3 linked regions of the Kluyveromyces lactis genome follow. The protein of the gene in region 2 interacts with the protein of the main gene of each other region in a pairwise test. Links are inferred from orthologs where the notes say so. Each region holds a gene or a part of one and is shown on either strand. Other genes may lie near its edges.

Evidence for each region.
Region 1: the proteins of HFI1 (region 2) and UBP8 interact in binary tests that used the Saccharomyces cerevisiae proteins (3 or more experiments, as listed by UniProt). The link is inferred for Kluyveromyces lactis from reciprocal best matches to the Saccharomyces cerevisiae genes HFI1 and UBP8.
Region 3: the proteins of HFI1 (region 2) and SPT7 interact in binary tests that used the Saccharomyces cerevisiae proteins (3 or more experiments, as listed by UniProt). The link is inferred for Kluyveromyces lactis from reciprocal best matches to the Saccharomyces cerevisiae genes HFI1 and SPT7.

Annotation. Positions count from the first base shown.
Region 1 is NC_006039.1:603,844-606,834, reverse strand, and holds UBP8 (ubiquitin-specific protease UBP8), read left to right. Parts: upstream 1-1,150; coding exon 1,151-2,491; downstream 2,492-2,991. Other genes in the region: KLLA0_C06996g (alpha/beta hydrolase), read right to left, coding at 1-405; PLP2 (Plp2p), read right to left, coding at 2,653-2,991. UniProt on the Saccharomyces cerevisiae protein: Histone deubiquitinating enzyme component of the transcription coactivator SAGA complex. SAGA acts as a general cofactor required for essentially all RNA polymerase II transcription.
Region 2 is NC_006038.1:904,025-907,403, forward strand, and holds HFI1 (Hfi1p), read right to left. Parts: upstream 1,931-3,379; coding exon 632-1,930; downstream 1-631. Other genes in the region: CIK1 (Cik1p), read left to right, coding at 1-508; KLLA0_B10373g (uncharacterized protein), read right to left, coding at 2,635-3,379. UniProt on the Saccharomyces cerevisiae protein: Component of the transcription coactivator SAGA complex. SAGA acts as a general cofactor required for essentially all RNA polymerase II transcription. At the promoters, SAGA is required for transcription pre-initiation complex (PIC) recruitment.
Region 3 is NC_006041.1:1,117,197-1,121,441, reverse strand, and holds the start of SPT7 (SAGA histone acetyltransferase complex subunit SPT7), read right to left. Parts: upstream 2,801-4,245; coding exon 1-2,800. Other genes in the region: KLLA0_E12563g (uncharacterized protein), read right to left, coding at 3,701-4,100. UniProt on the Saccharomyces cerevisiae protein: Component of the transcription coactivator SAGA complex. SAGA acts as a general cofactor required for essentially all RNA polymerase II transcription. At the promoters, SAGA is required for transcription pre-initiation complex (PIC) recruitment.

The DNA of each region.
Region 1 (2,991 bases), on a different chromosome or scaffold from region 2:
GAAAAATTTAATAGCAGGCTGTTGTTCCTCCGTGAGGCCTAAAAGGTTATTGAAATCCGTCATCAAATATCCAGTGACACCTGCACCTTGACTAAACCCACAGATACCATCAAATGGTCCATTTTCGACAACGTACTCTTTCAAGAATTTCAAAGTCACGTCGGGCAATCTGTACTCCCCATGCAACGGATCCGGTTGAAGCCACGCGTGATAGTCATCCCCAGAAGCAGCGCCGATATCTGCAACATCGCTAGGAAGATCTGCTGGTGATAAATTAATTGGTGCTGTAGGGTAGAAGAACTCATATCCAAGTGGTTCTAAGACCCGACGAAAACCTTTCGTTTTCGATTCAAAATAAGGACCAGACTGGGCAAGCCCATGCAACATCAATACTTTCTTAGACATTTTTTAAAAACCCTAGAACTGTTTATCTACCTCACAGCCTGAAGCGGTGTTAAATCCAAATCCACTAATAATAGAAACCGGACATAAATACCTACCCATATACTACTCCCCTTCAGAATACTGGAACAGAATTGGAAAACGTTGATGAACTTTTTTTTTTTTTAAATTTTCCTTGCGATGAGCTCCCTCTCCCTCTCTCTCTTTCTCTGCGAATCGGATTATCTCCTAGAAATCTTCGTACGCAGCTGGTTTTTCCAGGTACCTCTCGAGAGAAAGAGTACAAAATGACTACATAAGGATGACTACGGGATACATGCTAATTTTGATACTCATAAAAAATAAAACTAATAATATATAAGAGATCCTGTAGACACCTCCACTCATTTGCCTGTATGGTTACAAACACCCCGGCTGATAGTAGTCTGTATATGACCACACTGAGCTCCCACAAGTATATACTATCTACCGTTTACTTATGTATCATTTCTTCCTTTTATTTTTCGCTTTTTCATTTTTTTGCTTGATTCTGGATCAAGTTTTTTCTGTTTAACTTTTCATTATATGAAATTCGCACTCTAACAGATGATGATCTAGTAATCAGATTCAGTTACAATTTTTGGGGAAACGGAGCAAAGTCTTTGTGCCTTAGTCATCCTCTAGCTCGAGCAGGGAACTTCAGCTAGATATTTTTCTGAAATTTCTCAGTGCTCGTGCGTGTGCTTGGCCAAAATTTTTTTTATTAGTTATGGTTTGTCCGCATATGAATCAAGTGGTTTCTAACCAAAAGCTTGGTGACGCAGTGTTGAAAGAATGCGAAACGGTACGATATCTGCTTCGCCACGCAGACTTCAAGAATAGAACTATGAGAACCATGAGATGTATGGATTGTGGTGAAATTAGCTGTGGATCGACTTTCATTTGCTTGCAATGCGGATTTTGCGGGTGCTGGAATAACAACCATTTCTTGGATCATTCTCAAAAATTGGGACACATCTTTGGGGTTAATTCATCAAATGGTCTAGTGTTCTGTTTCAGATGTGGTGATTTCATGGCTGATCTGGTCGCTGAAATTCCGGCTAGCCAATGGGATACTGTAATGGAAAAGACCGAGCTACCAGCTAGCTTACACAGAGATGGATTACAAGGTTTGGTGAACATGGGATCCACCTGTTTCATGAGTAGTATCATTCAAACCATCATACATAATCCATACTTTGTCGAGGACCTGTTATCTCATAAGCATTGCAACAATTGTGACATTAAATCAGGAACCAAGTGCGTCTCTTGTGCATTGGATGAAATTGCTTGTGACTTTTACGGGAATGGACCTGGGACAGGGAAGTCTTCCTCCGTTAGCAAAGGCTTTGTAAACCTTTTATCTGCATCATGGCATATCAATCATCATCTTGTTGGCTCGTCACAACAGGATGCACATGAGTACTGGCAGTTCTTATTGAACCAACTGCATACGGATCATGCACGAGTATTCGGATCGTCAAAGGCCCCTGATTGTCAATGTATCACGCATCGAATCTTCCAAGGATATCTTAAAAACACTTTACAGTGTTCTCAGTGTGGATTCTCAAAGACCACAATAGATCCAATCATGGACCTTTCCTTAGAGATCAAAAATAACCCTAAATTAGAAGATTGCTTAGATCACTTCCAAAGAGAGGAAACATTAACCGATTTTCACTACGAATGCCAAAGCTGTAAACAGAACCAGGGTGTGGTGAAACAGTTAACGTTGCATAAGGCTCCTAACGTATTAGTTATACAGTTGAAAAGATTCGAACATCAACTCAACGGTCAAAGCGCAAAATTAAATGATAGAGTACAGTTTCCATTGCATTTAAATCTAAAACCCCATTTATTCCAGATTGAAGATGAATATATTCCTAATATTGCATATGATCTACTAAATGTAGTCTCCCATCAGGGGACGGTTGATCAAGGTCATTATACCACGGTGAGTAAAACTGAAGATGGACAATGGTTTAAATTCAATGATTCTGTTGTCACTTCAGTAACGGAAGAGCAAGTATTGGAACAACAAGCATATCTACTTTTCTACATTATTCGTTGAATATGTTAAAAGAAGAAAAACTCCTAAATTGGTTTACTAGGTGGCTTCCGTATATATATGTCAGAAAAGAAACCCAAATAACATCACACCAATCGACGTGTTATTATTGCCTTTATATCTTTTTTTTCAATATACAGACCCATATATATATAGTATTCTATCTAATCGAAGAAATCATCATCATCATCATCATCTGCACCGTTGCGGCCATTTCTACCAACACCAACATTAAATTTGCCTTTGATACCTGATCTTATACTGTTATGACCGTATCTCTGTTTCTTTTCTTGTTTAGTATAATCATCTTCGTGGTTCATTAGCAATCTACCATCTTTCTCGTCTACTGCACCAATATCAACCATAAGTCTTTCAAAATCTTCCAATTTAGTATCTTTTCCACCAAGTTCGAGTAGTGTAACCAAATGTTTTACGACATCACCTTTGTAATAAACAATCAAAGTCGGACAGTTGTTATCTGGATAATTCTCTATTGCTCTATT
Region 2 (3,379 bases):
GAAAAGTTGTAATATTATATCAATAAACGATGATTTGAGGAAAGATTTCCTACGAACGATAAATGAACGATTTTTGAAATCCAAAGTTCTTGTTCAGATGGTTGTATTGAACGACAGTGACCTTTCGAAGGATTTATTAAATTCTGAGGATTCTGATTTATCCGCTGTCATTGACGAAAAATGTATTGATTTCCATTCTAAAAGACTACCGATTGAAGAAGTGAATAATTTTATACTTCCCGATTTCAGAGGAATTCATGTTATGAAATTTGAAGTCTTCGATAAAGAAGATGATTTTGAAAGCATATTTTTCATCCAAGCACCTACTAAGGAAATTCAGAAAATGAATGCGATTGATATCACAAAGACGGCTGTCAGCCCAGTCTCGACCTTCTTGCAATCGTTATTATTAAGACTTGAATCCTTAATAATATTCAATTTTGATACACCAGATTCCTCATTATTACAATTATCACAAACTTTACATAAACTACCAAATCCGAAATAGTAGTCATATTCCCTGTCTATAAATTCTACAAAAAAATGAAAGCGTGGAAATTGTTCGATTAAATCAATCAGAAGAGTGACTTTTGGCTCCTTCAATTGAGAATATTCGCAATACTGTTAGTCATTATTTCTTTGTAAGAATATCTTTAATTAGCCAGTTAAGCTCTTCCCGGCTTCCCATATTCTTTTCGTCAAGGGGAGTGAAGTTAGGCTTTTCCCGTTTATAATGAAATAGATCATCGACAGGACTTTTGAAATGAACGATCTCATCGTCATTTACCAACCCATTTGTAGTTAATCCAAGGTATGCACCTGTTGGATCAACAACGTTGGGGAATATCGTGAACGAGTCCAAAGCGTCTTCATTTGTAATGGATACAGTTCTGTTACCAGTAATATCCTTCGCTTTATCACTCTCAGTCTTACTATTTGCTAACGCACTAGATGCTTGTTGGAACCCGTCATCGTTTAGGTCGTAGAAGTCCGAGTATTTCTTTTCTCTGTATCTTACTGTATCTATGGTGGATTCAATAATTGTCTTGAGATAATACTCTAATGCAAGTGATACGATATCAACACATCGCGAATCTATCTGTCCAACAATTCCATTTTCTCTTGCAATTCCTAGCATTCGAAGATAAAGAGACTCATTATCCGGTAAAACATATGACTCGGTAGAAAGTTGTGTTTTGAAACCATTCATGATCTTTTGGGACCATTCCTGTGGGCCCTTCAGATCTTGTTGCTGAATTCTCTTGGCAGTTTCCTGGTTGAAGACGCAAGGTAATTTCGGTATCTGTCTCAATCTAGCCTGTAGCACTGAACATAATACAAATCCTCGTTTTCCTGCTTCCTTTGTTATCATTTTTAATCGTTGTCTATCCGATAACGGTAGGGAAACAACAATTTTTTTGTATAATTCGATCTGCGAGTTGGGCTTGTTTGATCTTCTCTTATTCTGTTGTTGAGAACCGTTCTGGAACCCCCATTTCGATGATTGTGGATCATCGTCGGTGGTTTCTCTAAGAGAATTAGTGAATATCGATAGTAAAAGTTGGTTATGCAATCGTATTAAATCTCTTGGTTTAATATTCGGCTGTTCTTGGGTAGGTTTAAATAGTAAGTCTAATTCATTGACCAATTCCTTTCTGGACAATTTTCCGAGTATGAATAACGAAATCACTCTGGCATATTTCGCCCAATGCTCTTTGCTTAAAACTTCATTAAATTCATTAATCATAGATTCAATATCCAATCGCTTATCCTGAGGAAACCCAACGTTTCCTCCACCATTGTTATTACTGGTTTTGCTGATTTCCTTCACCGAATTGGTATTGTTGTTCTGATGGTTGCTATTAATACCAATATCTTCATGAATTGTCGGCGTACCACCTGTTGCAACTGTTGGCGTTGATACAGACATTCTCGGTCACGTGATTCGATATGCCTTTTATTTTTGACAGCGTTCTAAAATAAACCAAAGTAGAAATAAACCGCAGTAGCCAGAGACGAAAATTGACCAGTGGAGGGTTTCAAAATGAGCGGTAACCACGGCTAAATTGTCACCTTTTTTCAGATTATCAGTAATTACTTATCAATGCACAGTCAGTGCACAGTCAAAATCCGAATGAAGTACCTTGTTGTCCGTCAAATAGGGCGGCTTTCTCTTTCCTGAACTCGCTAATCTCATCCATCCTATACAATTTCATTCGATTTTCTGATTTCTTCATTTTCAAACGGAAAACTAAAACCGAAATTCGATTGGAAAGGCGAAGTGAGGGTAATTCCAAATAGTACTCAGTAATACGACGCGTAATGGGTATATGAGATATGGCTTTTGAGGAAATGAACACTATGGTTTGCTAACTTGCTGTCTACTGTAATATACTTTGACCACTGATACCACTCCTGGAACGGAATTGTCAATAGTATTCTGGCTATTCAATTACATCCTTAAGTATCGAAATTCCACTTTTATTCATTAATGTGATGAAATCACTCGACACTTCAAGAAAGAATCTGTCACGAGACAAATTGTTTCCGAATTGGTGATAAATGATTACTGACATTCTCGACTATTTATTAAATATTATTTATTAGATACTTGTGTTTGTGAGGTGAGGATATTCAGAAACCTAAGCTGTTATAACTTGGCGGAGAGCAGCTAGATGAAGTTGAAGGAATGTATATCAGAGATGAATTATTTGTTTGATCAAATTCACTACCAATGGAAACGGGCATGGCTTTACCATCCATAGCTGGTTCGTAAGCTGGTAAATGCAAGCTGGAACCCATATTTTTATCAATTATCATAACGGGCACCTTGAAATTAATGTTAATACGTCTTGTTTTGTCAGGAAAAGTGCCGTTAGTACAATCTTCCAGAGATGTACCAGCAGTTATCTTTAAATGATGGGTAATCTTAAGTTTAAAACGTTTCTCAGTTGAGTTCCTCCTGCTTAACCTTAACCTTGATTCCTCACAGTAGTATGGCAAGATCTTAGTCATTAAGGAACTTGTTTTAGAGTTTGTGTTAATTACAAGTTCTTCGAATTTAGCAGTTACCAGCTTCGATTCGTTATCATTTGGAGTGGGAAAATAATGACCCAAATGGACGGTATTAGTTTGGATATACGATTTCTTCAAGGGTGTAATGCCATCTGATTTGAGGCATGGTATCAGAACAAGCTGCACTAGGGAAACTGTGACCTTGGTGACTTTAGCTCCCATTTTCGTCAGAAAATTAAACTGACAGTGAAATGGACAGTTTAGTTCAATCAGCTTAGAAGATATGAAAAAATCATAATCTAAGAACCCTTCGTCATAAGTTCCCTGTGAACTGATTGATTCATATTTTAAAAGTGATGATGGG
Region 3 (4,245 bases), on a different chromosome or scaffold from region 2:
ATTCTTTGAACCTTAGCGGTTGTTGTGAATTTTTGGGTTTATTTGGATTTTGTAGTGCTCTAATCAAAGAAATTTTATGACATATATGCCTAATCTCATGTATCAACTGGATATTCGTGTTCATTTTTGGACTCAACCCCTTATCGACAGTATTCAACAAAGAGCTCTTCATTACTTTTCCTTCCTTCATAATTTTTTGAACCATAGCTTCCTCAGCTTTATCTAATTGTTCTTTCCCAATACCTGTATATGCCAAGTCCGGGATATAATTAGTGATGTTGTACTCTGTCAATAACGAAGAATCTTCGAGAGTGATTTCATTCGATTCTTTAGTCAAGGAACTTTCGGCATCTTGTGATTTAACGTTCGTGTCAGAAAAATTCGATACACTGCTATCTGCTTGGTTCATTATTGCCCCAAAACCGTTTTTCATCATTGACTGTTCTTGTAATTTTTGTCTTGCAAATTCTGCTTCTTTCTGTTGCTTATACTCCTCGAAGAACTGATCAAAATTCTTTAATTTAGAAGGATTTTTCAAGAGGGCATCAGATTCGGAATTAATTTTGTGTTCGTTGAACAATTGTGATCTTTTCAAACAAATTTCAGCACGGGCTTTGGCTGTAAGTGTTTTCCATGTGGACAATTCCAGATCGTCCTTATCGTCATCTCGTTCAAGAAGCATCATTCCAGCGGCATTATCTTCTTCATCTTCATCCTCTTCCTCTTCCTCTTCTTCTGCATCCTCATGTTCTTGGTTTTTTTCAACAGTTGACACTGCTTTACTTTCAACTGCTGGTTCAGTAGATTCGTTATTAGTCGAAGATTGAGCCACTTTGGAGCCTCTCCCCTCTGCAGAAACTATGCCAACTTCTGGCGTTTGTTCAGCTTCGTTAGTGGAAGGTGTTTTGTCACTGCTTACTGTTTTATTGGTGGATTGTTGTTGATTCCGTTCAGCATCAGTTGCTCGTGTTTTTTTACCTCCAGGATGGTTCTCTTCCATTTCTTCTTCTTCATCGTCAATAACCTTTTGAACACCACGTCTCTGAATACCCTTACGACCTGAACCAGCATCCTCTTCATCGTCTTTAATGTTGCTCTCGGCGTCTATATCTTCTAGTTCTTTTTCAACTTGCGCTCTATCACGGATTGTTATATCTGGTATTAGTGGTACTAGTTGTTGAGATTTCTTCTGCATCGCAATTGCATGGGCTCTCAAGAAATGCTTAGGATCCGAGTTATACGTGAGGCAGTTTCTCCATATTAACATAATATCATCAACAAACTCATGTTTAGATTTATACTGAAAAGTTTTGAGCTTCTTCAGCACAGTGTTCAAATCCATTGGTTTTTTAATTATTTGGTAATAGTTTGGAGCTTCTCTCTTGCTGACTTTGTTAAGAAATGCAGTAGAATGCTCTGTGAAATTTCTGAGTTCCAGTACCACCTTCTCGCATGCATCGTATAATTCTTCTTGTCCAATTTTATCTTCAGAAGCCCATTTAGATCTGTTCATTCTAACATCCATTAATAAATGTTTAAGTTCGTAATCTGAAATATCTAGCTTACTTTTATTTTCCTGTACCGATTTGAGCAAATGCCTTAATGACAGATTTACGACACCGAGGTCCATTTGGATATCTGCTTTAGTCTTAGTATTGATCTTCTTATCTGCCGCAGACTTATGATGAGATATGCTAGGGTTCCCTGAGTCATCCTCTTCTTCGTCTTCAATCTGTTCGTGAGACCTTTTCCTTGAGCTTTCTAGCATTTGATCATTTTCCTGAAGTTTTAAACGCCTCATAGTGGTCTCTTTATCATTGTCAAAGAGATGATATATTTTGTGAAAGTTACCGATGATATCGTAGGTATTTACAGATGGAAGTTCGTTCAAAGTTTCCTTTGAGATGATGAAATGCAGTCTTATGAGTCCGTTATCAAGTTGCTCGTAAATTGGCGATTCAGTTTCATCTGACACTTTGGGTTTCTCATCAAGATCATTAGGATGAGAGATTTTTCCATTTTCTGTATCATTTTTTTCTATCTTTTGAGGATCTTCTTCAGCATCATCGTAATTATCCTCGTCGTCGTCATCATCATCTTCATCATAGTTATCATCTTCATCAGAGCCTTCTTTGTTTTCGCTATTCTTGCTCACTTCTTTCATAGTCAAGGGTGCTGTGTCATTTGTAGGAAGCGTGGAAGAGTTGGGAACCGCACTTTGATCTATAAGAGTATTATTACTTCCATCCTCTATTACAGCGCTATCATTATCCGTGTCAAGTAGAAGGTATTCTGAGGATGTTTCTGGCTCAAGGAGAGTGAGTCCATGTTCCCATACAACGTACCTGACTTTCATAGATAAATTTCCTATAAAATCCAGTCCATCTAGCTGGGCCTTCAATTGTTCCAAATCGATCATATCACTGTCGTCATCGTCAACACTTTGGTTATCAGTCGAATCATGTAAAGGAGTGCCAGTTCTCGAGAGTCCAGAACTAGCTTGAGGTTGTTGTTGTGTTGATAATGATGGTAATCTGGTAGCCGCTACCAAATCATTAGTGGCACCTTTGTCGGAAGTTGCATTAAGAGTTGTATTCAGTTCTACAAATAGTTCCAACTTGCCGGAGAGAAACGCATCCCATATAAGTGTCTTTGATTCTTGGTCTGGTAGACTCAACAAGTACTTCAATAAAAGTAACTGACTCGGATTGAGGTGCTTTTTAAATACATCATCTGCGAATAACTTCTGGATGGTTCGAAGTATTGCGGCGGCATCGGACCGCTGGTAACTTGTAATCATGGACAGTCAACTTTTTCCGCAGAAAGAACCACTAGAGTAAATAAAGAGTAGTTTTGAAGGAAAATTCTGAATCAATTCCTTCACTACCAGCTCGCTTGCCTCTCGTTTTACTGATACAAGCTGTAAACGGCACGACTTTTGAGTGTATGGTCCGAATCTTGTTTGTCCATCAGTTGCACCGATTGTCTGTGTTTTCCAAAATTCACGAAATGTCAAAAAACATCAAAACGTATAAAGTGATATTGGGACAGTCATACGGCTTATTCGTTTCAGCGGCGCTTAGCCTTAACATACAAGAGTTGAGTATCCAACAGCTCTACCCAGTTGTATCTATATATATAGGACTAGTTGTGGTAGGTTTTTAGTACCTAGGTAAGCATTGATAAATTGATTTTCACTAGCTAGAATGATCAGGCGTATGTCTCTCCATTTCTATAATTGTGACCAAATTGGCACATTCAGAAACCAATGTCTGTGGACAAAAACCAGTCTTGAAAAGTCTTGAAAAATCTTGTATAATTATAACCAATGGTTCTAGCTTACCTGTCGGAAACAGTCGTCTAATGGAAATGAAATATATCAAAATTATACGGTATATATACCTACATGTACCATGAGCACATACACAATATAATATAAAGAAAATTGGTGCGTTAATATATATACTATTCTTTCTAATACTTTAAACCTTGAAAGCTTGAAGTTGAGAATTGTGTCAGAAGAAGTCCAAAACGATGTGAGTTGAAAGTACCGATAACAAAAAGGGGTAGGATATACAATGGTGGAAGGTTTGAGTATTTTTTTAGTCGGATTAAGATGATATTACTTTCCGCCGAACCCTGTCCTTTTGTAGTATTCTTTTCTTCGGTTCATTCTTCTTTTTTTTTTGTTATATTTCTTTCAAATAGCATACTTCTTAGTCCATTCTCTAGCAGTAGCCTCGTACTTAGCTCTATCGGTCTTATACAAATGAGCGATTTCAGGGACCAAAGGATCATCAGGGTTAGCGTCTGTTAGAAGAGAACAAATGGACAACAAGACCTTAGAGATAGTTAAAGCTGGAGACCATTGATCTTTTAGGATATCTAGACAGATGTTACCATTAGCGTTGATATTTGGGTGGTAGATCTTAGTGGTGAAAGAGATCTTTGGTGGTTTGAAGGGGTAATCTGTTGGGAAATGGATTGATAGGAAGAAAACACCGCCTGCATATGGGGAATCTGGAGGACCCATGATAGAGGCTTGCCAGTGATATACATCATCACCTACTGGACCAGCAGAGCATGAAGTTGGGGGGTCTCTGGAGGGAAAAAAGAGGGAAATGCGATTTTTTCCAATAGAATGTTAGTAAAAGAGAAAAAGTGGGATTAACAGAGGTCAAAAAGCTGTCATTTCCATAGTTCGATGGATGAGGGATCAAAACAGAGCCGGTCCTTCTTTTAAAC